Drosophila melanogaster: one gene and its partners. The protein of the gene in region 3 interacts with the protein of the main gene of each other region in a pairwise test. Each region holds a gene or a part of one and is shown on either strand. Other genes may lie near its edges.

The links. The genes of interacting proteins can lie anywhere in the genome.
Region 1: the proteins of CG11905 (region 3) and CG18259 interact in a two-hybrid assay, tested with the Drosophila melanogaster proteins (one large-scale study listed by BioGRID).
Region 2: the proteins of CG11905 (region 3) and Graf interact in a two-hybrid assay, tested with the Drosophila melanogaster proteins (one large-scale study listed by BioGRID).

Annotation. Positions count from the first base shown.
Region 1 is NC_004354.4:18,778,741-18,785,635, forward strand, and holds CG18259 (uncharacterized protein), read right to left. Parts: upstream 4,755-6,895; 5' UTR 4,636-4,754; coding exon 4,556-4,635; intron 4,494-4,555; coding exon 3,973-4,493; intron 3,916-3,972; coding exon 3,174-3,915; intron 3,118-3,173; coding exon 3,036-3,117; 3' UTR 2,525-3,035; downstream 1-2,524. Other genes in the region: CG6891 (uncharacterized protein), read left to right, coding at 1,941-2,264, 2,338-2,454.
Region 2 is NC_004354.4:15,755,626-15,762,757, reverse strand, and holds the start of Graf (GTPase regulator associated with FAK), read left to right. Parts: upstream 1-2,108; 5' UTR 2,109-2,518; intron 2,519-2,563; exon of another isoform or gene 2,564-2,633; intron 2,634-4,440; 5' UTR 4,441-4,724; coding exon 4,725-4,902; intron 4,903-4,990; coding exon of another isoform or gene 4,991-5,449; intron 5,450-5,532; coding exon of another isoform or gene 5,533-6,364; exon of another isoform or gene 6,365-6,440; intron 6,441-6,521; coding exon 6,522-6,679; intron 6,680-6,765; coding exon 6,766-6,939; intron 6,940-7,132. Other genes in the region: mRpL3 (mitochondrial ribosomal protein L3), read right to left, coding at 163-583, 637-1,160, 1,222-1,327, 1,387-1,424; CG8260 (uncharacterized protein), read right to left, coding at 4,991-5,449, 5,533-6,321. UniProt on the Drosophila melanogaster protein: GTPase-activating protein for Rho family proteins. Essential component of the CLIC (clathrin-independent carrier)/GEEC (GPI-anchored protein-enriched early endocytic compartment) endocytic pathway.
Region 3 is NT_037436.4:16,928,322-16,938,802, forward strand, and holds CG11905 (uncharacterized protein), read right to left. Parts: upstream 7,216-10,481; 5' UTR 7,167-7,215; exon of another isoform or gene 6,985-7,166; 5' UTR 6,888-6,984; coding exon 6,873-6,887; intron 5,040-6,872; coding exon 4,972-5,039; intron 4,691-4,971; coding exon 2,950-4,690; 3' UTR 2,851-2,949; downstream 1-2,850. Other genes in the region: CG13022 (uncharacterized protein), read right to left, coding at 10,025-10,481.

The DNA.
Region 1 (6,895 bases), on a different chromosome or scaffold from region 3:
AGCCCTACAGATTTAACCGGCACTAATTGCCCGGGCGATCCCAAGAACTTTCGGTAATAAATCAATTACAGTTCCTTTAGTTTTGCGACAGTTTTCTTATCAGAGCAAATAGATGGCATTGCGTCAATTCCGGAGGTGGGGCTATCCGAGCCTATCCTATCCGATCTTTGGGTGCACTCCCAGCCCAACTGGAGTGATCTAATTTGTCGTGTTGTCATTGTGTCAGAAGTGGAGATATGGCCATATAGGCATATATATGTATATAGATACATATGTGCGAACGTTATCGGGCTTATCGGCTGGAAACTTAATTTCAGCTAATTTTAGCCAACAATTTGGCTCACGTACCCGTGGAGGTTGCAGGAGGAGCACCGACATTTCTATATACATTTGTATCTGCTATCTTGCTTGTTTGGGGGAAAATTTGTCGGGTATTTTCGGTGGGTCATTCGCTGCAACGGTTTCTTAGTCGTCCGCTCATTTTTGGCACAGTTTGCGTCCGCATCTTGTTCATTTTTTTTTTTTTTTTGCCTGCCTTCCGACTAATTAATTCAGAGCCACGAAACGGGAGATTCAGAGCTGTTCCATAGTTCTATGCGACGCATAGAATACACATACAAACTCCAAGTTCTTACTGCGTCGCGTTGTGAAAGTCGTCGCCCGAAACATCTTTGGGTTTAATTGTTTGGCTTTTGATATTTTCGACAGTCGTCGCTTTTCTAATTGATTTTTCTCACCAGACGCCGTACTCTCCGGTCATTGAACGCATTATAGAGCGATCTCTATCTCCATCTTCCCATCGGTATCTGTATCTGTATCTGTATTTGTACCTTTAGCTGTATCTGTATCCGTATCTCTGGCCCAGCTTCAATGTCTATTTATACGCGAGTCTAGTTCCTGACTCCAAGCCCGATCCATTTGGCTGGCAGTTGGACCAACAGTCATTTGGCTCTCTTTGTTTGTTGTCATCCCGTTCCGACGACCCCAAGTCACTTATCAAATCTCTGACCTGCTTTCCGCCGGCTGCTGATTGAAAATTGTCACGCGTAAATTGATTTTAATGCGGCGATCCGCTTAAGACAATAAGAGTGCACTACGTGAAAGGGTAGTTTTCCGATCCGTACTACAAGTATACTCGTATCAAAAACCATCGATCCAATCGCTTTACACGCTTTCCACGCATCTAAGCTGAGCCTAACTTTGTGCACATAATGCTACCCCAAAGATCACTTAATAAACCACAATTAAAATTAATCTTTAGCTAACCAAAATCGTATTGAGACTTGGTTTTTTACATTTCACTATCAAGCCATTCGAACTTATCAAGCAATTTAAATTCATTTACATATCGATATTTTTAAATCATCATATTTTTGGGCTTTGAACCAGAACCCTGAACCCTCATATGTGTGTGCTGATATCATTATCAAAAATGCTGTAATTTAATATGCGGGTATGTTCCAGTATGTTATCATAATAAAGCCTTTATTTTTTCTTCGAAATATGTACATATTTACATTGGCTACTTTTCCGCTGGCCCGCTGGTATTATGTTTATAAAGCACTAAAGCGGCAACAAATTGCTTTCCGTGAATCTGCCCGAACGTAATGCAAGTGGGCGATGCAATGGCGTGCCTATTCCCCTGGCCGACTTGAGGTTGCCTGACACGGAAACAAGTCGAATTGAATGTAATATAACCATCGAAAGCGAAAGCACCGCTTAAATCTGACTCATAGATGGCGCCGTCAAGAGTACTTGGCCCCGCATTGAGTACATACAATACATTTCGCTATCGATGGGCCAAAGCGGATGATCCATTCGCCTTGGCGAAACGATTCGGACTTGGAATACATGATTAAGATATATACTTCCGTCTGAAAGTTGCTTATAGTTCCCCTCTTCGCTTGCTTATAATCCTCTTCCCCCTTGCTCTTTCGCAGATGCCGCTGGCCACGTCGCTGGAGAAGGACTCGATTCGCGAGGCCTACGAGGATGTACGCTCCGATCTGACAGACACCGAGTGGGCGGTATTCAAGTTCGATGGCGCCCAGATTATTGTACATGCGCGCGGTCAGTGCTTTGAGGAATTCCGACAGCAGTTCGGCGACTCGGAGCGCGCCTTTGGCTACATACGCATCCAGATGGGTGACGAGATGTCCAAGCGCAAAAAGTTCATCTTCCTGACGTGGATCGGGCAGGAGGTGGGCGTCATCCAGAGGGCCAAGATGTCCACGGACAAGGCGCTGATCAAGGATGTCCTCAACGTGAGTAGCCAATAGCTAGAGATGCCAGAGCCCAGAGGCAGAAATAGATCCTCTCATCTCTAATCTCTTGCAGAATTTTGCCGTGGAACTTCAGGCGGGAGTGGAGGCCGAGCTGGACATTGAGCTCTTCCGTGAAGCACTGAACCGTGCCGGCGGCGCCAACTACGGAACGGGCATCCGGGATAACTAAGCGGCCTCCAAGTTACTTTACATATACATTTTTTTTTGCAACTCTTAACTGCTTACCAAACTGCTCCTTTCTCTTTAATTATTATGAATTAATTTTATGAAATTTAAAAACTGTACATTTTATGAAATATTATACAAGCAATTGTAACATTACTGGGTCCTCTTATTTATCGTATAATCATAATCCATAGTGTCATTCAAAAAAGGTAAAAGAAAAGTTTTCAATACCAAATTTCAAGAGCGGATGCAAAATCATTATCAATGCCATACATTTAATTGTGTATATAGTGGGACTGATGAATTACTTTGATGATAAGACAAAAATTTTAGCCACCTAATACTGAATACTGAAGTGGACAGATATGCCAGAATTTGCATTAGAAAATTCAAGTTTCTATAGTAAAGAAATGTTCTCGTTTAAACTAGTCTGGTTTTCTGAACATACGCTGGATGGATCGATTCGAATTTAATAAGCGCGAAATGAAAATGGACTACGTTGTTGAACTAAATACTACGGAGATGATGAAAATGATGAGAAAAATTATCTAGTTGCTTTAGTTCCCGGGCTCTGCCTCTCGCTTCCTAGCGGACCCTGAAGAGTACCGAGTGAAGTGCATCGATGTCCACCTCCACGCCAGACGAGTTTGTGGTCACGGTGCGAGAGCTACGGCCGAGAACGTTGAACAATACTGCTTGGTATCTTTAAAGCATATCACTCACCTGGCTTTGTGCACCGAGCGACGGGAGGAGTGCGGATTAACCAGCACACAGTGCATGGGCTGGTCATCGAACTGACGATGGTGATAGGTATCTACGGCCTTCTCGGCATGTTCCAGTGACTTGTAAATAACTTCGGCGGTGCCGGGACGCACCACACGAGCGTCGTACACTGGGCCGATGTCGCTAAAAAGCTCGCGAATATCCGCAGTAGTCACGTTAGTATGCAGATTGCTCACCAGCAGGCGGTATCCATCCTTTGTGTTCGACGTACGCAGCGACAATGGGGATGGCGAACGGCGCTTGTTCTTCGATGGAGCAGCTGCATCACCATCACTATCAGTACCGCTATCGCTATCCCTAGCACCACCGCCACCAACAGCCTTTCTCCGGTTCTCGTTGGCGTAGATGCCATGAGAAATGTGAGGATCCCTCTTACCGACAAACAGACGAGACCGCAGCGATTCTGGGAGTTTACTTGTGCTTGCTGTGTCGCGGTGGCGGCGCTCGAGAGGCTCCTTGGTGGTATTTGAGCGTCCAACTACGAGTCGGTTGGTCAGCGAAGGACGCTCAATGCGATTGCGGGCCGCCTCGTAAATGGAGAATGCATTGTTATCTATTTTGTTATTTAGTGGGGCCATGGACATCTCCACGTCGTCGCCGCGGTTCAGGTCGAGCCCACCAATTGAGTAGCGTGGCGACGCTTGCTTCATTTGCCCTAAGTGCAGTGTGCGAGATATTTCCTCTGAAAGTAGAAGAGTGCTTTTTAGGAACGGCTTGGCAGAGAAAGGCACTAACTAACCATCCTCGAGGTCCTGCATATTATCAAGATCAATATAGCGTCGTGGAGCAAAGGGTTTGCCCGGCTTATGGGATCTGGGGTCAAAGGTTCGACGCAAGCCGGACAACATGTGGTTACCCAGTTCAACGACCCCGTCGTCCGAGTCCCATTTCGCCTGAATGGTGCCGTCCGCATGGTTTGACATGCTAAGGCGGTGACCAAACTGACCGATGTGCACTCCCTTTCCGCGTGCGCGATGTGATGGCTCAAACGACTCTTCTTCGTCATCAATAAGTATTGGGCCCGCCGAACGGGCCTTCTTTCGCTCCAGCAACAGCTGGCGGGCATCGATGCCCGAGTCGCGCACGCTCTTGTTGATCAGATCCCGGGCATCGGCTATCTTGGCCCGTGTCTTCGCGGCGATCGTGTTTCTGGCATCGAAGGTGCGCTTTGCCGGCGTATCAGAGTGAGATCCTCGGGCACCCGATGGCTTGAAAAAAGGCTTGTTCAGCAGCTGGCGCGGCTTGGAGAAGTTCGCATTGCTGCAATGGAAAACGCATTGAGTGACATTCTATTTTTTCGGCTGTCCTGTAAATGTACTTACAACTTTCTGTCGAGGGGACGATAGCCGCGTTGCCCGCGCTTCCGCTCTATAATCTCGTCCAGACTCAAATCGATGTCCATGGCTCACAGTATACGCTTTTCACACCTTTTCCTAAGCTATGTGTGAAGTAAAAACAACCAGATTCAAATTATCCTGACTATTCGAACTACGTTCGTAAAAAAAAAATAGGACTGGCGTTTCACTGGTGACACTTGGGGTGGCAAACTATCGTCCAGCACTATCGATAGCAACTATCGCTTAAAAACATCTATGTTATTCTGGATATAAAATGTAAAAAAGAAACAGCAATATACTAACACTTATACAAATATACGATTAATACTATTAAACTACTTGTTCATTTACAAAAACAATTTTTGCATGTCTTAACATTAGTTTGTAGAAGATTGAAAATTCTCAGAACTGTCAATGATATATTAAGCTACATAATACGTTTTATCCACTGACATTACGAGTCACTAATTCACAGTGTGCCCCTTCGCACAACCGAGAACAATCGCGCTTAGGTGCTAGCCGACGTCTGGTCTGGTAACACTGATACCTGCGCAACAACAAAAACAACACCACATACTAAAACAAAAACCTCCGTGTGCTCTTCAGTCCTTGAACGCTCACCGGGACTGCCATTGTATGACTTCGATGAACAGAATTTGGCTTCACACTCTCTTCCTTCAGTGTAGGCCATGAGTGCGCCTCTTTTCACCCTTTAGTCGCTTTTTACGACAAGCCGGGAACGCTCAGGTAGTATTCTTCACTCGCCACCACACAGGACACCTGTTCGGGTTTAGCCACCTTCTCTGTTGGCCATCTCGTCTGATCGGACACGTTTAATCATTTTAATGATTAGACTGTGTCCCAGCTCCCATGCCTCGCTCTTTGCCAATATAGCTGCGAACAAGCCACTAGGGCTGAACGGAGCACCTGACTTCGTCTTTAGCTGCTCCCTCTCCATCGCAAACCTGGAGCAGTGCATTAGCACATGCTCTTCTGTTTTCTCACAAATGACGCAGAACAATCGACGTAGATAGGCCCGAATGCAGCCATGGTCCGTGTGAAACTGGGTTAGGTGGTAGTCCAAGCATTTGTGTTGGCACTCTGCCCAAACCGCCGACTCAGGAATGAGCTGGTAAGACCACCTGTTCTGCCACTCACCCAACAGCCACTCGTCGGTAAGCGCCACCCCGCTTTAGGCCGAGAGCCTTGATCTCCGATCAATTGGCGGCCTGCCAGAGTTAGTGCCGCGTCTTCACATATTGTCCTGAATCCTCTAATGAGCCTGAGGGCCATGGCTCCTTTCAGGTATGAACCCCTGCTTGTAGCATTGCTACAGATTGGTGCAGCGTACAGCAGCGAAGCCAGTTTCCTGGCCAGATAGCTTGGACCACCGATGTTGGGCACCAGTCTAGCCAATGAAGAAACTGTGACTGATGCATTCTTGCTGCCGTAACTCGCGTGGTTCTATCATAGCACCCAGGTACTTGAGGGACTCTTGGGAGGTCACCTGTGTCGCATTGACAGAGGACTAGCATATTCTCCACCTTTTTCCTGCTGCTTAGTACTTACTGCTTCGGTCTTGCGAGCCGCTATTGCTAGCCCGGCTTTCCAGTGGACGGCAGCTCCAATCGTGGTGTTACATTTGTCCTGCAACTCTGCAATTGTTTTGGCGACTGCTGTAATTGCCGCATCGTCTGCAAAACAGTGCAGCTCTACTCCCAAGGGCCTGTTGATGCTCCTCTACTATCGTATCCTCGTCCAGTCCACTGCAGGATAGTGCTATTCTTTGAGCTGCCGCACAGATGCCAAATCATTGACCGTCGCCTCTAGATCGCTTTTATACTTGGGAAAGCTTCCCGAGGCTTTTCCCACTACTTCGAGCAACAGCTCATCTAGCTGAGTTCTCCGAATTCTTCTGCCCAGTTCGCTAAGGCTCGGGTCCGATCTTAGTTTCCGGAGCATCTCTGCGTACCAAGCCTCACCCGTCTTCTTCACGATCCGTGCCTCAGGCTTTTTACGCGGGCGCATAGGCTTCACCTTGGTCCAATATGCACTCGTGCTAGCATTCTTGGCGACAGATGCGTAGCTGCCTGTATTGGACTCGTTTGATCTGGATGTCGCCTTCCCTTCTCCTCTACCAGTCGTGCGGTTTGAGCGCCAGAACTTTGGGCACTTGTCCCTTGGACACCTGCGCATTGTGAGAAGCGTTTTTGGTAGGCTTTTGTACTTTAGTCTGGGTAGCAATGCTCGTCAAGCGGTGCTCGCTAGTGACCCCTTCGTACAACTCTATCATCTTGTTAAGGGCTGAATGTTCAGAAACTAGGC
Region 2 (7,132 bases), on a different chromosome or scaffold from region 3:
TAAGAAACCTAACCATCTGAGGTCTTATTCGATTTAGGTTTGAATAAAACCTCTTAAATAAGTTACAACCAACTTTTAAAACTACTCTGCATATATAAAATTAGTTATTTCTTTTATTTCAAAACAAACAATTAGGTTTCTATAATACCTTAAGCACTAAAGTTATTCGTTTTCATACGTTATTGACTCGCTTTTGAAGTTGTGCACCTGTTCGTACCACACATCATCCCCATCTTGCTGCGGCTCGCCGTAAAACGTTGGGAACGGTGGGGCTTCCTTATTCTTTCGCGTTGGCAAGATGGTATCGTATATGTAGACCAGACCGCCGGTGGGGCCGGCCACCGAGCTCCCTTGCACCCACATAACATTATATTTGGTGTTAATGCGCCACACGCGCAGACCCTTGATGATGCGCCACCGGTTTCCCATGTGTCCCGGCATCTTTGTGCCTGGCCAGACGCGACCCTTCTCGCCACCACCGCCAATGTTGCCGGCACGTCGATGAGTTTTCGTCACACCGTGCGATGCTGGCATGCCCTTAAATCCGTGTCGCTTGACAACACCTTGGAAGCCATGGTCAACTCTGCAAAATATAAGTAGAGTACGTATAACCAGCGCTTAGACGTATGTACTTACGTTTTGCCGCGAACATCGACGAAGTCACCAACGCGAAAGTGGTTGACATTTAGTGGAGTGCCTGGCGCCAGTTGGGCTTCTGGAGAGACGATGAATCGGGCCAGGTTCTTCTTGGGGAGCACACCCGAGTTGCGGAATATGCCCGCGTACTCTTTGGTCAACAGAGCTGGGTTCGTGGTCTCGGAGCCAACGAGAATGCAGCCGCGCTTGTGCAGGTTGGCTACCGTGGGAACTTGGGCAGGTAAATACTCTTCCGGGGGAATGTATTTAATGACATGATTGTCGACGATTTGCAGCAGCGTGGTGCGAATCCGCTCGCCATTCTTTAGCCACAGCGGGTACTGGCCAATTTTGCGCGCTATAACGCCGCATCTTCGCAAATTCGGAGTCCACACAGCCTCATTGGCGGTTGGGCCCGCGGTCTTGACCAAACTATCCTTAATAACTGCCGGAACGCCAAAGTTATTGGTGCCCACTTCGTTGACGAACTGCTTGTTCTCCGCCGTCATCAAATCGTTGTATTTCTGTTGCAATAAAACGCAAATGAGTAGTTTGTTTATAGATAAAAAGATATATGTCACATACTGTAATTTCCTTGCGCAGAAACCATTGGGGATTCCGCAGTCGAGGTCTGCTCAAATGGCCCTTATCGCGCACCTGCGTAACCAAAACACTGCTATTTCCACTGAGCCTGAATGGAGAAACCAGAATTTACTAAATGGCCACTATAGCAACGATAAGTGTACCCACCGGAGACCCAGTAATTGATTAATAACGCTCCGCATCATACTTATATAATATAATTTAACAAAGCATAAAAGCGAGCCGGTGCAGAATAACCAAAAGAGCTGTCAAAACATCGGCCACAGTATCGATATCAGCGATATTTGGGGCACGGCTGCTTGACCATCGATTATTTCTGGTCAATTTCGATTCCACATGCTCTTATAATTGGAGTAGTGGAAACATGATGTGATTATTATCGCAACTATGTAAATCAGAAATTGTAGTTTTTAATAAATTTGTAACATTTGTAATACATTTTGGTAATGAATTCACCCCTCTCTATGTAACGACGCGCAATGTTGTTCATTGACAAAATAGATGATTCACAATTCGTGCTAAGCTATGCATGCTGCAAACTTTAGACGCTTAATAAACATTTGATATCTATCAAAGAAGTTTTAGCGCTTTCATTTTGTTTCCCAATCATTTCTGTCAATTAAAGTTAGAGAATGGGAGAGAGTAATGCGTTGAAATGCGAACAAGTAAGTAACAGGTGGTTGTTGGAACGCATGAGAAGTAGATGGCACGGCAAAAGCTTATGGACACTCCTGCAAATGTTAGTGTCGCGGTGGAGACAGGGTATTTGATGCGCTTAACAGCACAGTTAATATACTTAACAGCACGTTCAGATAACTTGTGTATTTTTATCAGACCTACATTAATTTTTTTTTCTAATCGGAGATTTAACAGTCAAAGTAATATATATATATTGTGGTGCATTTAGAATACAATGAAACGAAATATGCAATTGATGCTGAATAATATCGCGTAATTGATGCGAAACGCGCGACACGACACGGCCAATTTGCGTTCTTCGATCAGAGCAACATTAGATATTGGGAAATTACTCATACACTAATGTTTACTCTGTGAGTAATTTTAACACGGGCACAAATGTGTGTGCGGTTGCGGTACGCGAAAAACTACCGACGGTTGCCTTTCGTAACTAAGAGCATTTATTTTTGTATAAGTGAATTCCAATGGGCTAAAGTCATATGAAAAGCGTCTAAACATGAGCCCCTCGACGATTCGTTTATAAGGATTTGATTTATTTATTTATTTGTGATTCCATTGCATTGCGTATGTATGTGTGCTGGTGTGTATCTACGTATATGTATGCTGATATATATATATTATTTAGTTTTTTAAACAACTACATGCATGCGAAATAAACAAAGGATTTGGTGCTGCAGTTGAATTTCATCCCAGGGGTATGTCCGATATCGAAATTATGGTGTTAGTGGCCTCGCAACCTGTTTTAAGATCGAATGTTTACATATGTACATCGAAATTTAACAAGTTTATGCAAAAAAAAAGAGGAAACGATAAAAACTCTCGCCCACCCCTCCCTTCAACACATTCTTATGCACATAGTGTTGTAAAGTGCGCATATGAGTTATTTATCAGTAAGCGAACATAAACTAAAGTTATTTTTAAATAACAAATGTACACAACATACAAATACAGGCGGTGCACATCTGTATGTATGCAAGTATGCAAGTATGCCTGTACATACCTAGCTTCATGCAACAATTTTAAGCGGGCTTAACTGTAAAAAAAAACCGATAAGATAATTTAAAACGGAATGTTTAACTGTTTTTTAAGCCCCAAAAATCCACCATAAGTTCGTATTCAACAGGTATTAAGGTATATCTAGCGAAAATACATAGCAACAGCTGTGTTTTTACTCGTTGCGCATTCCATCAGTGGAAACTCGCCAACAAAATTTCCCATGATCTTGAATTGCACTATCTGAACTCGGCTTTAAATAAATACATATATATTGCATTATTTCAATGCCTAACATTTTCATATATATAACTATCTCTTAGGCTTATAAAGTTATCAAGGATTTTTAAAGTTGTTGTAGTCAAAGAAAGTGAAAACAGGTGATTAACTGGTTATCAGTAATCAATGGTCCTATGAGCCGGATAAAAGTACTTTGCGAATTTGAATGGAAAGACTATTATTGCGTAAAGGGGATATGTTTTGTGAATTGTTTTAGTTAGGGTGTATATACATTTATCTGCGTCATTGTTTCCTTGATAACTTGGGCCTGGAATCCACTAAAATTTGTTTAAAATATATATTGATTAGGCGATTATTTCTGAGAATTCTCCGTGCCTGCGCCTATCTATCTTAAGATCTGATAAGAAAAACATATACAACAATGACAATGTAGTAAACAGGCGTCTGTAAGCAACTTTATGATTTAAATACACCCATAAATAAATGGCATTCAAAGTGTATTTTCCAAGTGGCTGACTTTCGCAATTTTTATTGAACATGATTTTCAATTGCAAAGTCGGTTTTGCATTTATGTAATGGCGACGACTTATCAGCCTGTGGCTGGTTTCACTGTAATAGGAAAGTGTTCGCAAGTGTATTTAAACTTGTTTTTGGTAAACGCTTGTACATATGTATATGTTTGCAAAAGATAAGAAATTTACTAGAGTGTGGGTCTTGCTCGGTACACAGACGATAAGAAATTAACAATAGTCCGTTCTTGATGAAAGTTAGTCGTTGACTGCCCACTTTTTATCGTGGCACTGTGTTTCAATTTATCTTTTTATATAATCTCATCAGTTTGCTTTTCGGATCTGCTCTTATTTTCGGAATTTCACAGTTTAAAGTTTATCGAATGTGGGGAACCGACCTTAAATCAAAATCACAATTGCCAGAGCTCTGCGCGATCAAAACGAATAAATATAATACATAATGGACTTCACTTGCTAATTATTGGTCAATTTAGGCTATAAATTCATATTCCGGTGATTGCGATGTACTCAAAATATCGTTTTTAAACCACACAAAGCAATGGGTTCTCTAAAAGAGAGAATGCAAGTTCTTTAATACAGAGTTGATAAGAATCGAGTGAATCATGTTTCTTCATGCTAGAACAAAATATTTTCTCAAAGTAACTTAGCGTATTCTTGGCCGCTCAGCCGCAATGCAAGTTTTGCGCAATTAACTCTACTTGTTGTTTAAAAAGATATCTTATATCAGTTGTCTTTGCAGGAAGGATTACCAATATGCATAATCCACCAACTGATAAACAGTATTTGCATTGAATAGTAAATATATAAAAGGAGCGCAATTCCAGCTGTAAATGTTGCAAACACCGCAGTTTTCTCGAAACTCAACCGACAAATCTACACAATATATCACAATATATCAGTCACTGCGAATGCACTTAGCTCTGTGGAAAGCAACATCGAAAGAACCTAAATAAAACTGAAACTTAAACTGAAAATCACAGCAAATATTCAAATTCAATATTATTAAAAGCAAACGCAAACATCATGGGCGGCGGCAAAAATGTACGCCGCGGCTTGGAGCCTCTGGAGTTCGAAGAATGCATCGTCGACAGTCCGGACTTTCGCGAAAATTTAAATCGACATGAAAAGGAACTGGACCACACTAGTCATCAAATAAAACGAATTATCAAAGAGGTCAAAGATCTTATGAGTGCGGCAAAGAGTAAGTAGTACAATCCATTTACCGGAGGGCGTAAAACGTGTGTCTGTTTATTAAAGTATACAAAAAATGATTTATAAATAATGCCTATTCACATATGCTTCCACATATCTTCTTGTCCTTCTGATTCCCGATCCCTGGTATGCTTGAAACACGTATTGAATTCGGGTCCAATCGACAGGCGTTTTAGGTACTCTTGATATTCGTTTAGCGTTATGAAACGCATATTTGGACACAGCTGTGTCACCTTCCGATGGTAGTCACAGGTATGATCCTGTACCCAATGGCGTGGCTCCATTAGCTCCACCTCCGTGAACTCCACATGCGTATCGAGTACACTCGGATTGTTGCGCACGGTTAAGAGCAAACTGCTGTTAAACACCGAGTCCCGCAGAAGTGTGATGACATCGGGCGACTTGCTAAACTCCTTTAGAATGTCACTAAATTCGGGCATCTTATGGAGTTCCTCACTCCTGAACTTCTTTAGCATGAGGGGCGGCAGGAAGCTGAAGCGAATTTGACTTAAAACCCTATAGGTGCTCGAACGTCGCTGCGGCCAAAGATGCGCTAGCCACATTAAGGCGGAATATAAAAGCTGTGTATTCATATATCATGGTTATACTTCTACTATACTATAGATATAGAACTTGCCTCCATTTCCGAATTGATTGCCAGAAAGTTGGACTTGAGTATGTAGCAAATTTGTGTTTCGCTGAGGCACAGGAATTCCCGAGTCGATGCGACTGGCAAAATTGAAATGGAAATGCGCCCAGTCAGCTTATCGAATACATCCCACAAGTTGGTGGCGCCTCGTAATTCGAACAATAGGCGAAACGCAGAGATCTCAAAGAATGTTATCCTATCCAGGTTCGCCCAACAGGCCTCGAGCAGCTCGGGAATGTCCAGGAAGTATGCGGCCCTCAAAATTTCGCCCATATCGCACGGATTAACCTCGCCATCACTGGAAATCATCCATAGATATGCGTCGCTGAATCCTTTCGGGCTCAAATCATTCGACTTAAAGACAATATGGTCAACATCTTCCTGCAATATTTTCAGCATTCGCCTTGAGTAAATACTTAGTATGATATTGTGGCAAAGGAAGACGCGATCGTGAACAGTGACTATTATATCCGCACACTCGTAGTTCTGGATGTAAGGCACCAGGTATTCCTCTGGCGGCACTTCGTGGTCTATTTCGACAATCTCGGACTCCGTTGGATCTTCCTTCAGTGTTCGTATACTATTTGCAAAGTTCAGAAATGTCTGTTCCAAGTAGCAAAGCCTTTCGCGTGTCCTAACATTGATGAAATGGACATATGGACATTGGGAATTTATTAGCTTACTTAGGTTGCAAAGGTTCGGGGTCAGGAACAGGATCAGGATCAGGATCAGGATCAGGATCAGGATCAGCATCAGCATCAGGGTTTCTTTTACTCGCCAAAAAGGGCCTCGTTTTATACATGTTTTTTTTTTTTCGTATATCTGTGCTGTATTTATGTGGTGGGAAGTGAGGCAAAGACGTCTAGTTCTAATGAGATTTATGTTATGTTTGATGTTTTCCCTTTTGCTTTCATATTTATTTCAATGGTTTGTCAAATTGCATTTAAATACTTTTTCAGTCCTGTCCACTCGAATGAAACAATTGGCCATTTTACTTAACGATTTTAACTTTGAGTGCATTGGCACTGCTCAGACCGACGATGAGAATGTCATTTGTGAAAGTCTCAAGCGATTTGGTGCTATAATTGGCAATATTGAAGATGAGCGCGAAAAAATGGTAAGTTGGCTTGTCTGATCGGGTCATATAATATTGGTTTCCAAATTAGTGAGAATCTGAACAATCTATTAACAATTACCAACTAGCTAACGCTCGCCGATAAACATATTATTGAGTCACTGGAGGATTTTCGAAAAAAGCAAATCGGTGGCGTCAAAGAAAACAAAAAGAAATTTGATAAAAAGACGGAGAAATTTTGTCAATCGCAGGAGCGTTTCCTCAATATGTCAACTAAAAAGCCCGAAAACACAATACAGGAGGTAAGTTATTTCAAAATTTTTATTTTTTGCAATTGCCATCGAAAAGCTATTGTTTAAACTCAGAACTTGTTGTGCAATGTAAAAATAATAAAATAGAAACGTTTTTTGAAACCTAAAAGGTACCACTTCACTTTGAAATGGCATAGTTTTATGAATAAATAGTTTTACACACTTGGATTGTGGTCGCATATTT
Region 3 (10,481 bases):
AATGATATATTTAATTGACCTGTATAGATCTTTAATAAGAATCTCAGATTAATTCATTTATTTAAATAGACATATTTTATTGGCAATCTGGGAGCTGGCACACAATATGTTGCTTAAAGTAAAGTATGAATCTCATTGCGATCAAGTCCAATCCAATTTTAATCTCGTTCATCCAATCCTACAGCACTTTTTCTATTCGGAGTGAAGACGCAGTTTGGGAGCCATGCGGATGAAGGGTGTGGGATGCGGCATGGCCACCTTGGTCAGCGCCTGCCTGGCTGCATAATCCTCTGCGATGGCGGTGCGCCACCTTTCCACAAGGGAATCCCCTCCAGAGATGCGAACCGGGACCAATTGCTGAGGAGTTTCCCGGGTCAGAGGAAAGCGGGCAACCGTCAGCGGTACATCATTATAGTCATAGTCTTCGCTAGCCTTCTCCGAAGCCAAATTGGGACTCTTGATCACCAGTTGATTGCGAGTGGGCAATGAAATGCTGAAGGCAGCTGCCTCCTCGGGAGAAACTCCAGCAATGGCTGTGGCCTTGGGCGAAGCTACGGCCAATCCATTCCGGCCGGAGAGAGCCACAGCGTTCGGTTTTGAGGAGGCCACGCCACCTTCACCGGCAATCGAAAGACCTAAAAGGTGATTGGAGGGTTTAATAGAAGTAAATTAAGAGAAGCCTCTCCTTCAGAGAACTTACCCACTGGTTTTGCCTCAGCCACGGCGGCATCTTTCTTAGGAGCCATTACGGACACACTATCGTTAACATCCTCATAGGGATCCTCGTTGTTGGGGGGCAGGAACTGCTCATCCGGCGAGAATTGTTGCTCAGTGACCTCGTCCAGTTTCTGTTCGTCGATCTTCTGGTCCGCCGGATTGTTGGTGGCCTCTAGCCCGAAATTGGCTGGCTGCTTTTGAGGATTGCCAAACATGTCCGGCTGCAGCAGAACACTAAAGTCCTTAATCTGTCCGCTTTGCTGGAGCATGGCCAAACTCTGGGCAGCCTGGCCCAGTTCCAGTAAGCTGCTGGCATAGATCTTGTTGTCCTCCTCACTGAAGGAACCCTTGCGCTTGGCCAACTCCTGAATGGCAACCAACCGAGCGGCGGCCGACTGAATCCGATTGAAATCACTGGCGCTGGCTGAGATCGAGCTGCTGGAGCTAGAAGCTCCACTAGCATCAGCTACCGCCGAGATGCTTGCGGCCGAAATGGTGATGGTGTCATCGGAGTCTCTAGGTACAGCCCTCAACTGCGGCTGTTGGCGCTGCAGGATGAAGCTGCCCACACTGCCGTCCCGCTGCGGACGCAGCTGGAGAAGCTGACCCCTCAATCCTCCGTAGTAAGGATGCTCCTCGAAGACCAGCGGAGCCGACCTCGATCTGTGTCTGCTTTTCGGGGTTAGATTTGGTTATAGAGAGTGTGTGTGTTGGTTGTGTTTGGGAGTTGCCTGGAGAAAGCGGGGATTAAGAGAAGCGTAGAAGTATCTACATGGGATTAGCGGACTACTATATGACCCAAGGCGAAAGCTGTACAGTTTACGGTTTACTTTATTTACAATCTAAGAAATGACACATCAGATAGGCCTATGTTCTTAACATAGGAACATAGGTCAGTTGGGAGGAGGAACTACCAATTAGATTCTGTTGGGTAACCTACTACATAGAGCCCATTTTCAGCAACTGATTTCATAGGAAAATTGTCTTTGCGTGTTTTGCGTACTGTGTCAATTGACTTTCAAAATAATGCCAAGTAATCAGTTAATGAAAGTGAGCTTTAAGTTAAATCCTTGCTCCTTTACGTGAACAGATCCAATTCCAAATCCGCCGTAGCATGCGCCTTGCCACCCACACCTGCTATGGCCACAGATTCCGGATTGAAGTAAACGTTGGTGGGTACACCCTTCTTCAGATACGCCTTGGAAATGGGCGTGGATATGGCAGTGCCACCATTACCAACCACCGCTTTGGAATGAGGTTCCAGGATGAGTGCAGCCTGCTTGCGTCCCTGGATCGCCTGAGCCTGCTCCGGTCTATAGGGCAGGAAGTAGTTTCCAAATGGGATCTGCGGAAAGTTGCCGGAACTCGTGCTGGTCTTTCCGGTGGCCTCAACCTTCAAGGGAACTCTTCCACCCGCCTGCTTTCTCATTTTTTGTGGGGCAATCGCCTTCTTCAACTGCTGCTTGGCGGAGCGGGGTGACCCAGAAGTGGAGATCACTAGCTTGCCCGGCACCGGAACGATCTCTTCGATCACATACTCGGGGTTTATTTTGCTGACCGCTGAGCGGAGACCCACATCACTCTTCAGATCCCCAGTGGTTCGGGTCTTCACTGCAGGCAGAGCCTGTAGCTTTTCTGGTTTCTCCAACTCGCTGGAGCTGTCATCAGCTAAGCTTTCGGGTCGGCCAGTTGTGGTAGTGGTCGTTGTGGTTGTTGCACTGGCTATGGTGGCTTGATCGGCACTGGCGATGGTGGGTTGCACCACATAGGCCAGGGGCAGATTGTAGGCGGCGTAGTATGGGGCACTGAACAGCACGGGTTGATAGGCTCCATAGGGCGTGAGGTCCTGGGCCGGAGCAGATCCTGCAATGAGTTTTCCGGACTTCTCTGCGACGGGTGCTCCTGGTGGCCAGGCCTCGATATTGGTTGTGCGCCAGTAGGCACTTGAGTTAGGATAGTTTTTGGTTTAGGAAGAGTGGGATAGAGGAAAATGGTGAAGAGAACCGCCGGTTAGTCGTATATTATTTACAGCAATAATTCGAGGGGTTAAACTGTGTCGGGTTAATATCATGCGGAATAAGTGTGATATCTAAAACTACTATGTACAAGATGAAAGCAAAAGCCCAAACAATTACGAAATACAAATATTTATTAGAACACTAGACAATACCAACTATGGATCCTAACTAAATGTGCTAAATAATAGCTATTAGGTTTAAGCCTCGAACTGGATTAGGACTCGAACTGGCCCGTCTCCAGCCCCGCCCCCTGATCCGCCTCCATGGTTGTTGTGCCCGTGGGTGGAGCATAGTAGACCGTTGGTCCTGTAGCCACTATCTTTCCCTCTCGCGGAAAACTTCTCGTCTCCAGATCGGTGCGTGCCAGGGCATCTTTAAGGTCCACATCTGCCGGTATGGAGATCACCTTGGCCCCGGGACCGGCGATGGTGAGACTCCGTGGATGGGTGAGAGCATAGCCACCGGGACCAACAATCGCCGTTCCTCCGCTGCCCGCCGTGGCCACGCCCCCGGGTCCTGCGATAGCGATGCCGCCCCTGCGAACCTTTAGCCGCTGAATGATGATTCCTCCTTCGCGCAATGCCTGCTTTTGGGTGCTTTCCTGAGCGGTGGCCACCTGGCTCACAGTGTGCATCAGGTGATGGCCCTTGTGAGCAAACAAGTGCTTCTCTGAGGAGGCACTGTTGTCCAGTTCCGCGGCTGTGTTCTCAATGGTATCCACATCATCGGCCATCCCATCGCCGGCGCCCTCGTTTTCATCCTCCCATTTATAATCCATCGAATCGATTGAGTGATTCTTCACAGGAACATTGCCAACAACCACAGGACCTTCTCCAGCTGTGGCCGCCATTGGAGGTCGGAAGGGGAGCTTGAAAATGTTTTGAAAGGCATTCTTGATGGCAGTCGAGGTCTGATTCTGCATCTCAGCTATATTCATTCCGGGCATGCGGAATGGACTTAAGCGATTCCGATTGGGCAGCAAGCCACCAGATGGTGGTAAAGTAGAACTCAACAGGACAGGCGCAGATGTAGCCTTGATATTAAGGGATGTGGATCCCTGGTAGATTTGCTGTTCAGCATCCTTTCCACTCAAGCGAACGGGTTTCGCTGTGGAACCAACCTTCTTTCTGTTCAAAGAATTTAATTCCGGTGACGAAGTGGGCTGAATCTTCTGTGGCTTATGCACGGGCTTCTCGCGGGAGTCCAAACGATATTCCTTGAAGTTCACAGGCACTGGAGCCTTTGTGGTGGTCGTACCAATGGTGGTGGAATTACCCCTTTTTGGGGTGCCATCTTCATTGAGAGCCAGTTCTCGGGGCAGGAAGAACAGGTGATACTTGGGCGTCGTCTTGCCCTGTTTTCTTCCAGCCTTCGCCTTGCCATAGAAGCTGTCCACATCGCCAATGATTTTGTATCCCTTTATCTTGTATTCCTGCGAGGCGTGCTCCTTGAGATACTCCTCCTTATTGAGTTTGTACAGGTGCACGGGCACCACAAAGTGGGCGGGCAGCTGCTGTGCTTCTTGTTCGGAACTCGGCTTCGGTACCTCCACCTGTTTGGGTCGGAAGTAGAGTTGCGCTTTCTTCTCCTCCTTGGAGGTGCTCTCAATTGCCTGGCGCAACCTGGGAGGCACATTGTAACTGCCCGCCACATTTCTTGTGAGTTTCACCGCCCTAATTGAGGGTTCTAACAAGGTCTGACCATTACTTCCCGAGAAGTGGTGCTGATGGGCGTGAAATGGCTGATGGGCGGGCTTGGGGAACAGGTATTGACTGGAATCAAGGATCGGTGGCAGCTTGGGCTGCTCCGGCTGCTTCTTCACGTAGCCAAAGGCCTCGTTAACCTTGGCTATCTGCTCGAGGATGCGCTTGGCCTCGTCCGCCTTTTCCGAGGACGGAGTGGCCGCATTGGGCTCAAAGTCCTCGGGAAATTTGACCAGCCGCTGCTTCTGAATTCTGCAAACGAAAGGTGGGGTTTGTTTGGTGGTCTCTATCTGTTGGTGGAGTTAGCTTCTAGTTGCTAATGCAGGGTAATGTGTTGTTGGGTGGAGGGAAATGAGTTTTGAGGGTTAGTCACAAGTCTGGGCTTTTTTCGGTTTAGTCACATAGTTCTAGGCAAGCGCATCAACTTCTACTTGGAATGAGCATTAGCGTTGACACAGTCACATTTGGCAGGCAAGGCATTTCATGGTTATTTGGGGTCTTAGGGCTGGGTAACTAGCTACTAGTCTACTTACTCGACGGCCAGTCCACCGTGCTGTTGAGCCTGGCCAAGTGCCAAAGAGGCCAGAAGCAGTGTTGAGAGCTGAAAGACAAATGTGTGACAATAGATGAATGAGATCTATGATTTATGCCGGTTAGATAGGGTGTCTGTATTCTGATGTCGTAATGGATACAAAATTCACACGTGTGGAATGCGGTCAAGTCCCGAAAGTCGCGAAAGTCTCTCTCTCCCTGCTCCTCCAGCACATTTGCATAATTTCTTTCGCTGCTGAAAGCTACGCCGAAAAGTGAGAGCCAGGTGGCAAGGAACGGCTTATGTACTTGACGGATTTTCCCTCGAATACGATTGTCAAGAACCTCACGATCGGCAAATATTTGACTCACTCTCGCCGGCTCTCCACATCTTTGGCAAAGTCAATATTGACGCAACCGTTAGCCGGTGGAAACGACCAGCCCGCACGCCTATCTATCAGCGCCGAAATGTCACAAAGCCGAGAGGAACTGAGACCAAAAGCCAAAACCAAAGCTGGATTCGAAGTCGAGGCTCGTGTTGTGTCATTGACCTGAACCTCTAGGCGGCTGTTACGATTTCGGTGCCGAAACGTAACTCGAGAGAAGAGATTCTGGCGCAGAGGCTGTCGAACCTGGTTGCCATTGATTTGCAAGAACTCTTGCATCCCCAAGCAGTAAGATGTATTTCTGTCTGCTTTCTTTTGTGTATTTCGCCTTATTTATTATATTGCCCTCACATAACGATGCCGATTCGACCCCATATCAGGTGTGTCTTGTCCAAAAATAAACTGGGTTAATGGCTCGAATGCAAAGTTTAAGCGCAGCATTTTATGTTCTCAAACAAGTTATAAATGAGTCTGTCTCCTGATCTTCACATCCGATCAGGTGTCTTTTGGTCTTAAATGATATTCCAGAGCCATTCCAATGCAGCTAATTGAGCAGGGATTGATGGACTTGGGACGTGTGGCTAACTGTCTACACTCATAAATTGATTAATTTATGAACCACTATCGAAACGATCACAAACTCGAAAACAAACCAGTGCACTTATAGTTAAGAACCCCACACAAATGTGACCGATTGTTTGATAGTTGGGAGGGGGAAAAGAAGACTTATATTACCATTTGTTAGCCCACGCATGATTTTTATACGTTTGCGGCATATTAATTTTATGTTCTTTGAGTCATAATTATTTTTTGGGCTTTTCAACCCAAGTGGTTGTATTGGTTGTGGTTATAATTGAATGGCATTGTTGCTTATGGGAGTCGCTGTAGAGTTTTGACTTTTAAGGGCATGCTTTTCATAATGGGAATATGAATAATGCAAGGAACAATACTTCCTAGGTATGAATGATTAATTCTCACTTTTTAAATTGGGGTGGGGCTAGAATATTGTCACGTTCAAATGGAATGGACAAAAGGGTTTCACTTTTCAGAAAGAATTAACTCTTTTGAAAAACCTTTACTAAGTGAACAATAACTGGCACAAAGAAGTCTTAACCTTTTGCATTCATATAAAAAAAAGTTTCCCCAATATAGTTCTTTGCGTCCAAATTGATTTGTGATTATTATAAACCCCAAAAAGATTTTAGGCACTCTTATTAATATTTGCATATGGCACAGAGCATAATTAAGGCTAATTAAGGCGATCAAAAAAAGGAAAGAACCAAGCCAAGAATCAAAAAAGTCGCTTAGTGAAAGTTAGTGTCGATTCAGAAGTGAAAGAAACAAAAGACTTAAGGCACGAACTTGGGCCAGTTGACGAGTTAATGAGTTCAGCGGCAGCACAGAGCAATAAATGATTAATTGCGGTCAGGTATAAACTAGTTTCGTTTTGTATTCCCAAAATGTGAAGTTAAGTCATTCATGGTATTTAATTTTCTTTTTTATGCGATTTGACTTACAACAAGAAAGCGCATTTTAACGCGAGGTTCTGGTGAATAGTTTCAGATTTTTCAATAAATGCTTGGTGTTCGTGGCGTTGACCAATCCTCGCCTTGACAATATATCCTTGAACTGCAAACGAGAACGGGAATGAGTGGCACTCTGGGTTATCACGCGGCAAAATCACACACACTAAAAGCACTATAAAACCAATCCTGCTGAGCTTTCAATTTACGATTGTTTCAGGTTCCGTTGTTTTTCTTTCTTTTTTTTTGTCACGCACAATAAATAGGGTCTGGAAATGGAACTCCTACCAAGAACCAAGAGCCAGCGAGCCAGGCGACGTCTGAAGATGAACTGAGTGCTGGCCGGGCCCAGCGCGTCTGTTTATAACATTTCCATTAGCGATGCAAACGACGAAGCGAAAGAAATGGCCAAGAAAACAGGGCCCGATCAGGTGTAAGAGAACTGGGTTTTGGGCAGAAGAGAGAGTCGAAGAGAAGACCGCGATTCGGGCACGTAGTCGAGCGCCTTGGCCTGGCTTTTATCTGGGGGCGTGGATCTGTGGGATTTGGTTACCAGCTCCAGGGTACACAACACCAATTGATATGCAGGCTTACAACTCTAGGATTTCGCAGATCGAAATCTTCCCCGATCCCTTGGGTTAGGCAAATAGTTTGCCTAACATATTGTCAGATATTTCTCAAGCATTTGATTAAATGTGCTGACAGTCGCTTCTTCAGTCTACTGTTTCGCAAACTCGCACCTAGCAAGAACACAGAATCACAGCGCTGACTTTGATTAATTGGCCGTTTATTGGCTTGATTGAGTGTGACTGGACAGGAGCGAAGTGACTGGCCATTACAAGTGGAGTGAGCCACGAGAATAGAAGCGAAATGCGTGTGGGAAGTGGAAAGGTAATCAGCTCGGAACGGGCCCAGAACATGACATAAGCCAAAATGGTAAGAGACTTACCGTGATGAAAGAATCGATTCGTTGCCGGGCAATTCAATTAAAATGTTTGCCTGGAACTCGTTAGAAAGTTTCGCACATAGTGACTCAAGAGTCATGTTCTTTTTTTTTTTTTTTGATTTGACAAGCACTTCGGCGTGAAGACTTCACACACTTCTCGGGTATCAACAGATGTCAGGATTAAGACTTAGCTTCGGACCGTTTTTGATCGATAATCATGAATAACAAATGTCTGAAATCAGAGAAATTGATTTCAGGTTCGTGCCTTAAGTCATTTGTTTTCATTGCAGACCAGTCTTTATTAGCCCAGAACCATTAATTTTGTGATTAACTTTGCTGTGATACAACTGCAATTTATTCTTTTATTGGCTTTTATGCCCCGAGCAGCCAGCTACTGACTGCGCTGTGAAATAATGCATATTCCTTGATTAAGCAGCATCGAACGGGGGGTCGACCTTTGTGGCACACGCAGGCATCAATAAAATTGCCACAAGATTTATGGTTTCGAGTGCGCAGAGCCGAAGGGAGCATACGAAATTAGCAGCAACACGTTGTAAGCCCCGAATGCGCCACACGCACCACTTGATCCACAATTGGAATGCAGCAATCAAAAGGCGATAAATCGAACCCCAACTGAAATCCAAGCAGCCGAAGAGCGAGTCGAGAAGTTGAAGACCGAAGACCGAAGACCGAAGACCCAAGACCCAGAGACCTTGGGGCCTATTTATAAATGCAGGCGAAACGGGACTGCTAGTGGGATGTCGTTGCCTAGGCCCGGGCCAATTAAGTCTGACCTTCGGCGAGGAGGAGAATCCCAGCCCAAACCGTTGTTTATGAGGGGGAAAATAAACAGAAACAGCTAACTGGCACCTGGGAGAGCCGGAGCCCCAGTAATTTGTGGTTTCAATGCAGGCCGTTCTGCTGCTACGCTAACCCAATTATGCACCTCGGCTACTTCCCAGGTGAGCCATTGATTTCTACGCTGAGAACGTGGCCATTTCAGCCATACAAACCCTAGACCCGGCCGAATAGAATCTATGTCAAGCTATGGCAAGCTTTTTAGTGCTCTTCTGTACGTTCTTTTAGTGCATTCGGCGAAGAAAGTTTTCGAGTGCGTAGGAACTTGTTTCAGGGAAATCACTCGCTTAGATCTCTTGACATTAAAACTTAATTGTGGCAGTGAAACTTTCGGTCAAAACTGGCCCATGTAATAACTTTTTGTTTTAGCAAATATGCATATTATTATTGCTTATGGGCTTTTCTTGGCTTCGCGCGGCCAGAAATATATTTTATTTAGGCCACGCCGTGGACGCCAAGGCTTTCCGTTCGATTCAAATTATTTGGCAAGTGCGCGCACGCGTCGAACATTTCAAATGCTGTATTATTTTGGTCCCTTTCCGACATGAAATTGCCCAAACAAAAATAAATAAGCCACAGAGCTGACTCAATTTGGCTTTGGGATGCACTGTCCATTTGTAAAATGACTTTGTGCGACCGAATATAACCATTTTTATGATCGGAAAATCAATTAGGGTTTATAACATGCATAAATCGCCGCAGTTGTATCGTGCCAAAGCACGCGCCACAAGCAATTAAAGCTCTTACAATCATTTACGATCAGAAACTGACAATGTTTACCCTTATCTACTTTATGCAAACATTTTTATTGTAAAACGTTTAAAAATTATGTCCAGGCAAGAAAATTTTCTATTAATGCGATGACCGCTTTTATGGAACTCAAGTTATGTTTCTTTTTAAAATGAAGAAAAATATTCTTTCTACCGTCCTATTTAGCATAATATTATATTCCAAGATTTACAATTACAAAAAGAATTCATACATTTTTGGACATCTATTTTTACGTACATTTTTTTTTTAATTTCACCATTATTTATAAATGTTAATATAATGTCTTCCGATCCAAAGATAATTTTGTGCCGCGTAGAAGTTATGAAATCCAGAGCTCTCGATAATATTTGACTATTGCTTGCATTCTATAACCAAGCAAAGCTGCACTCTTTTCTTTGAATGAACTCTGTTTTACAAGTCATTCATTCTTTGACATATGTTTACAGTTCAGATCCCCGATCACGTAGGTCTCAAACACGACAGGTGACACTGTCAGATCTCCAAAGACTTCCAGTAAATAACGCAAAACACCCAAGTAGAACGAGCAATAGTTTTGGCTAATATATTTTATTTACGTGTAGCCACGATATTTATGCAACTCTTGCAGGCTAGTCAAGGCATTTGTTTGGATTCCGTTTCCGATTTCGATTTCCGAGTGCGGTTCAGCGGCGGTGGTGGCCTTGGCCAAATTGCCACCCATGACCACGAATCCGATGCCGGCGCCCGCCTTGTAGCTCAGCTCATGGTAGCCAGCCTCATCGTAGTAGGAGTACTTGCCCAAAACATTTCCCGCCTCATCGGTGTGCTGGGCATGCGACATCTGGTCGGTGCTGAAATCAAAGTTTTGCTGGCTTTGCCGGTGCTTCAGGTGGTTGGTCGATGCTAATTGGTAGCCCGCACTCAGCGAAGATGTTGCCACTGCTAGGTTATCCTGTGTATTGTAGGAAATCCGGGAAAGTGGATTCTGTCTTGTCCTCAGAGATTGATGCACAAAGTTCAGCGGACCAAAGGAATCCAGAGAAGATGCC